Neodiprion lecontei: one gene and its partner. The protein of the gene in region 1 purifies or fractionates together with the protein of each later gene. This does not show direct contact. Links are inferred from orthologs where the notes say so. Each region holds a gene or a part of one and is shown on either strand. Other genes may lie near its edges.

The links. The genes of interacting proteins can lie anywhere in the genome.
Region 2: the proteins of tetratricopeptide repeat protein 9C-like (region 1) and ankyrin repeat domain-containing protein 49 purify together in Homo sapiens (affinity purification with mass spectrometry; 4 studies listed by BioGRID and IntAct, counting the BioPlex papers as one, with this or other methods). This does not show direct contact. The link is inferred for Neodiprion lecontei from reciprocal best matches to the Homo sapiens genes FKBPL and ANKRD49.

The regions. Positions count from the first base shown.
Region 1 is NC_060263.1:660,418-664,177, forward strand, and holds tetratricopeptide repeat protein 9C-like, read right to left. Parts: upstream 2,534-3,760; 5' UTR 2,214-2,533; coding exon 1,356-2,213; 3' UTR 435-1,355; downstream 1-434. Other genes in the region: retinol dehydrogenase 13-like, read left to right, coding at 2,970-3,079, 3,166-3,446, 3,510-3,614, 3,712-3,760. UniProt on the Homo sapiens protein: May be involved in response to X-ray. Regulates p21 protein stability by binding to Hsp90 and p21.
Region 2 is NC_060262.1:37,937,958-37,941,288, reverse strand, and holds ankyrin repeat domain-containing protein 49, read right to left. Parts: upstream 2,059-3,331; 5' UTR 1,651-2,058; coding exon 1,494-1,650; intron 1,343-1,493; coding exon 1,182-1,342; intron 1,083-1,181; coding exon 747-1,082; 3' UTR 615-746; downstream 1-614. Other genes in the region: lysosomal-trafficking regulator, read left to right, coding at 1-124, 203-404; ADP-ribosylation factor-like protein 6, read left to right, coding at 2,930-3,107. UniProt on the Homo sapiens protein: Induces HBG1 expression. May have a role in spermatogenesis where it promotes autophagy in response to serum starvation, via the NF-kappaB pathway.

The DNA of each region.
Region 1 (3,760 bases):
CAATGCCTTGTGACGCTATTTTAGCATTGATTTTGATTACTTGTTCGTACATTGTTACGGTTTTTTGATTTTTTTTTCATTTTTAATTATGTACGTACGTACGTACATGCAAATATTTGTATCGATTATTTACTCAACACGTGTAATCAGTATTTTTTAGTTCTCCATTCTTGCATGAGTTTTTAAAGAATTCCTTGGTATTCTTTATTTAAACGAGGAAACACCTTTGTACGACGAATGCTGTTTTTAACAGCTTCGGGTACACAAGGTTTTTATTAGAAAATAATTCTTAGTCAATAGAACAAAAGCTCAATAACAAGTGCTAACCGAATAAAGTAAACCGTTGAGAGGATTTTTATCAAACAATAGTAAAAATGATAAAGAATAAACTTTTTTAAACGGTGATGGCGCATACATTTTTTTTCTTAAATATATTACTCATGTGATTTTAATAGTTTCTTTGGTACTGTGTTAATTTATTAAAGGGAAGTTGTTATTGTTTTGTAACTCCGTATTTGAAATTTCTAAGCCATTGGCCACAGTAACGATGACTTGCTCGATTACTTAACTGAAGGTGAACTTGTAGCGCGTTACAAAATTTAAGTAGTACCTTAAGGTTTATTTACAAAAATGTAGAGAAGACTCATTTGTCCGAACGTGTAAGTAATCGATAAGCAAGTCCTTAAGCAAGGTGCCATTATTTAAATTGAAAATATATATTGAACATCCACGGCTCGAAGGAAGTATGATTCAATCTTGAGTCATTGCATTAATTTCCTACAAGAATAAATTAAATAATCTCTACTTAAATCATAGCAATAAAAGTCCGGACACGAGATATCTCAAGAAAATATTTTCCTCTGTGAAGAGTCGAACTCTTGTCCCTTACTCTTGATTTACATACGACTGCTATAACTCGAATGTCTTATTTTGCGAACGAATGTGTCGTGATTTTCCTAACTTTGAAGCTCTTGCAATATTTTACTACAGCGATTGAATAAAATTATCTCTCAAAAGGGGGATGATTAGTGATTTTAAAAATATTCGTATGTCTAATCAGGAGTAAAATATTGATGCGAATTAAGTTACGTTCCAATTGTTTGTTATTATAGTAGAAATAAATGCGTATTTTTGTAATTATAACAGATGTGATTTAATAAAGGAGGAGCCTTACGGATTATGTACCGAAGCTTTGTTAACAGAAATCATCAGGGGGTAACCGTGGTTGAATAAAATAAATTGTTTATATAAATGAAAAAAGTACTGATTATTATACTATAATTACAAATCAGTTATGTAATAGATTGTTTTTTTCCTTTATACACAAGTAACATACAATCTAGCGACGATGTCGCTCATTCGCGTACGTGAAACATTTTCTTCACCATATTGTCATACTTCTTCTGAGCTTCGTAAACTTTTCTCCTATAAATAATCAGTCTTTCTTTTGCAGCTTGATTTTTTGGCTGTAATCCGATGACTTTTTCCATGTCTGCCAAGGCTCGTTCGTAATCCCCTTGGTTTTCCCGGGCTACAGCTAGTCTGTAGAGTGCTTTGACGTTGTTCTCGTCCCTCTGGAGCACCTTGTAGCAAAGGGAAACTGTATGCTCGAAGTTTTTCCGCGTCAAGTGACATTCCGCCATGTTGTTGTACAAGATCCTCCTAAGATGTTCTATGTCATTTCTGAGCGAATCTTCTATATCGCTTTCGGGGATTGGCTCCAAACTGATAAGGATCTTGCAAGCTTTGCTAAATTTCGAAAAAGCATCAACGATTCTCGAGGACTTATAAAGGCGCACCCCTGCTTCTTTGTAATACAACGCCACATCGTACTTCTCTTTTGCCGACCATTCCCAAATCGGTACGTGTACCTCACAGGCTAACAACTTTATCTTAAGCGATAGGCAAACAGTGTCGTCTAATTTCACTCTTACCAAACTCTGCTCCCCAGTGAACATCGTTTGAATCGCCCTCTCGACATATTCGTCTACCCTACAATCGGCATCCCCGACAGTTATTGTCAGTTCTTCTGTTGACGATGGCTTAATGTAATCGCTGTGTTGAGTTTCGGGGTTATCGGACAACCCTGATGAGTTTACGTCTTCGATTCTAACACGGCATCTGGAACGTTCCGTAGGCTTCTTTGAAAATTTTCCAGGCACCAAAATATCTTTCTCAACGCTACTGCCCACCGACTCCCAAACTACCGTCATGACTGTATCTCACTTCTTCAACAGACTTTCTCAATATTATTCACGCGATTCTTGAAAAGCGAGAAAATTATCTCACCGTTTTCTTAACCTAAAAGCAATTCTTTGTCGTACAAAAGCTAACGAATTACTCAATTCTTCACTGTTACAATAAGATACTCGTATACAGGGGATTATTATTCACCTACGGATAATGCGAAATTCTTTCAAATCGAGAAGCACGCTCGATAAACGGCCAGAATCCGGCGCCGATGACAGCCGCCTGCGATTGTAGATGTCAAATTGTCAACTGATGTGCGTGCATTGTTCATGCGATGCACGTGCAGATCCGGTTTGATGGAATGAATGAACAAGCGATAACTGAGAAATGATCATTTCACGGAATTTTACGGAAAAATTAAAGAATTACGTTTCTCCTTGTTATGCGAATATCTGTCATTGATCGATGTAACAAAACAATGAATAAAATTTGAGAGTTTGGTTGGTCGCAACTGAAAGTGCTTCCTAGGTAACGGCTGCTGCTATGCATTGTTAACTCTCACATCCGGCCCCCTTGAAATTATTATCATCAATCTAGATCAATTCGTTGCATTTCCCCCTGTAAATTTATTTTAATACAGTTCACCAGCTGAGACCGGTCGCTGTTTCTCCCAAACTCAAGCCTGCTACCGATAGTCGATGCCGTTTAGTTTCAAACTTTGAGCTACAGTTTGACAGCTTATCGTGGCATAAATTTTGTCATACCTTTGTAAAATCGCCATGAGTCAGTTTGCAGAATTTCAGCATGTTCTACAAGAGTTTAGTCCTCTACTGGACTCGTACTGGCCGTACGTTGTCGGCATCGTATTGGGAATTTTAACAATGATAAGGTAAATCCTGACGTGTTGCTTGAGGATTATTTGTGACTCGGACCATTGCATGCCTTCGATATAACGCGTGGGATTGGGTACATAAGCGGGTGGAGTTTTAGGGCTTACATGGGAGGACCGGACTGTCCCAGCGAGGAAAGAATTGATGGGAAAACGGTTGTGATAACCGGGGCTTCGAGCGGTATCGGTAGAGAAACAGCTTTGGAACTGGCAAGGAGAGGAGGACACGTAGTTTTGGCTGTCAAAGATGAAGAAGCTGGAAATAACGTAGCCGAAGAAATACGAGCCATGCCTAATGGAAAGGCAGACGTTAGAGTCGTGGACTTGTCTTCGCTGAAGAGTGTTCGTGCCTTTGCCGAAGATCTGGGTATGATGCGAGAAACAAAGACTTCGTAAATCTGGTGTTACATTGATCTACCTCCTGTTTTAGAACTAGACCAACTCGATATATTGATCAATAATGCGGGAATCGCTTTTCATCCGTATGAAAAAACTGAGGAAGGTTTTGAAATGCATTTTGTCACCAACTATCTTGGTAATTGTGCCGTATGCTAATAGCTTTTTCCAATCAGTTGACATTGCGACAACACTTGACTCTTGTACTTTACTCGCTTTTAATTCATCCGTCTCAGGACATTTTTTGCTGACGCATTTGCTGCTGCCAAAACTCAAGGCAGCTAA
Region 2 (3,331 bases), on another chromosome or scaffold:
TAAACGCACGTCCAGTTGGTACGATAGTATCCAGAAGGCGAATGACGGCGTTATGCTACAGCAATGCTCCTGAAGGTGTTTCAGTCAATGTCATTGCAACAGGTTTAGATAACGGAGTAATACGGTAGGCCTATTCTCAACTAATATTCCAGGAATTCTATCAACAATAGTAAATCCAACACATGACTCGTTATTTCTTTAGACTGTGGAGCAGCTGGGACCTACGATTAGTCAGAGAAATTGTAAATAGTGGTACAGGATACGGTGCTATAATCGCATTAGCATGGGCTTTGGATCAGCACCATTTATATGCAGCAGCTGAAGATTCTACAGTTTTAATTTGGGAAGGCATACGCCGCCTGAGTAATGGAACACCAAAATTCGTGAACTTATCCTCACTTTAGGTTCCTTTCAAGTTAGTTCTAGCGTGCTTAGAGAATGAATAAAATATTTTTTTTATGATGCTATAATAATCCCCGAGTGTAAATACTGATATTATCTGTTTAGGTCTATAGTCACTGTATCCCAGTTTTAGTTGTGAAGTGTGAATGGAATATATGTATGACAGAAAGATTTTTGTCGAACTGGTCTGCTATGTAATTTGAGAAGCAACATACATGGTTATACATTTATTAGATTTTTTTAATAAAATTTTTGTAACATGTCAAAATACACTTCCAATGTTTTGTAAAAATTTTGCTGTCGCAATATCTCCAAAGAACAAACTTATAGAATCTAAATTGATCTCAAATATTATTGAGACAAGGTTCTATCATTTCAAATAAAGGATAATATTTTCCAGTACGTCTTGCGATCTGCTCCGCATTATCGCCACTGGAATTCACTAAATGTGGATTAGTATTGTAATGCAGAAGTAGCAGCTGCAGTGCTGGAGAATTGTGAGAACTTGCACTTGCCAAATGAAGAGGCGTTTGATCTCCTTTTGATTTAGCATTTATATCAGCTCCATTAGCTATCAGCACAGCTGCGCAATCAACATGATTCCAACAACACGCGGAATGCAGCGGCTCCCAGCCATCATTGGTCTTAGCATCAATTTTTGCTCCAGTTTCAAGCAAGTACTATTGAAAAGTAAAATGTAAATGTAAAAGTGACAACATTTTGTCGAACTGTATATTTAAAGAACCTTTGATTGATGTTTATCAGTTCTTTCTACAAACCTCGACAACATCTACGTGATTTCCGTAGCAGGCTCTGTGAAGAGGAGTATAACCATCATGGTCTGTGGCATGGATTAAACTAGGATCTCTGATAACCAGCTGTCTGATCATTTCTAAATCACCTTTTTCAGCTGCTTCTAGGATGGCTTTACTGTCTGGTTCTGTGCAACAGGATTTTAGATGTTTCGAGCTTTCATGAGGGTAATTTATGCGGATATTTTTTTCCAGTTTAAATCGAATTTACCATAAAAAATTGTAAATTTGTTTATGGCAAAAAAAAATTTATCCTTAGAGAACAGTACATTTTCTAACCTCTCGCGTTTCGGTCCTCTTCAATACCGTCATCGTCATCTTCCCAGGCACTTACTTGCATTCGCTCACTGCGTGGCTGACTCAAAATTTTGTCGCGAATTGCCTCCAAATCCGTAATCTGGTCGTCCTCTTCTTCGGATGACATTTTTACAACCATTAAAAGTTTCGCAAAATACAGTTGGCAGACGATTCTGTTTTAATATAATGGATGAAATACTGGGGGGAATATTTGAAACAGCATCGAGATTAGAAGTAGTATTAACAGTTCGGAAAAATAAAAGATACATGGGCACCCGAGATAGAAATAAGCCAGAAGAAAGTCTCTTCAAGGCACGAAAAGCATAAATATTGTAAGGAAAACGCTTTGAACAGAATTTAATTTTTACGGCTTGCACATGTGCGTAGGGTTTTTGTTATAAAGTTGTGAAATTTAGGGAAAAACATCCGAAGAGCTTGCCCTTTGTTTGAAAACCCTTCTTCTTCTCACGCACATGTGCACAAATCTTTTTTGGACGCCGAACTATCCCGAGTTGCGGAGTTATACGCGGGTCTCACTTCGTTACCCCCAAAATGGGAGCGAAGTAGGAACCAGTTGAGGGCGTACAGTAACAGGATTTTTAATGGAAAGGAACCTTTTTGATTGGGTGGATATAATTCGTGAATTCCGCTCATGCACCTGTGCCTCGTCGGAGGAGATTTAGAAAAAGAACAGGCACTCGTATTTCTGGCTTGAACAGAGAAAGAACTTCTCTCTTAAGTATTTGTAAAGATCAGTTTGCATAGTTCAGTTTATCACTCACAAAGTTCATTTTCTACACTTCCGTTATCACTTGTAAAATACATCAAAGTCACTATTCAATTGTGAAGCTTGACTCTTTATCTTGCATCATCCTTATACTCTTTTGAATTGTCCCGCGTCTGTGGCTGACCAGTTTCTCGGTCCTATCGGTACAGAAGATCCCGTACTTATCATAGACTGTCGATCGTCGATTGTTTATACGTGGTTTATACAAAGCGAAACGCTAAAAATCCCGCGAAAATCAAAAATACCAACTCTAAGGAAACCTTTTGTATCGATATCTTTAGTCAACGTATCAGGGGAATGCACGAAGCCGGCGAAACTCCCCCAGGATTGAATTAGAAGCAGAACCATTTTTGATTAATCATTCGAGTACACTGTGCTGGAAATTCGCATCATCCATGCGTGTATTTTGAATGGTTCAGAATATGTAGAAACAAACCGAGGATAACTACTATTATTGACAAATAAACCTAACAAGTTTTTTTATAGTCGAGAAAATATCTCTTTTCTCATTATAGTTCAGAATCTAATCACATGTCTTGACGTAGCGCTAGGGTTGTGACGTGCTATGGCGCTACTTTGATTATTGATATTCGATAGACACGTAAGCTTGTAAAGGAAAGGGACTTGGAAAATGGGGTTGTTTGATCGGTTGGCCAATATTTTCGGCCTAAGGAAAAAAGAAGTGAACGTATTAGTTGTTGGACTTAATAACAGTGGTAAGTCGACGGTAATAAATCATTTCAAACGCGAGGAAGAGCGGTGTATCGATATTGTCCCTACTGTCGGGTTCAATGTTGAAAAGTTCGCATGTAAGTTACATGTAGAGATAAGTCAAGTCACTCGATGTCACCATAGAAGCTTTTTTTTTTAATGACGGTTACCATCACTATATAGACTTCGATCTCACTGCACTTGCGTGTTATTATAGTTCGAGCAATAATGTAATCAAGATCCCTGATGCATTTATCATTACTTATTAATATACGTTTATAAAGCGCGCACAATTTGTAGGTACAATTATAAAGTTGCACAT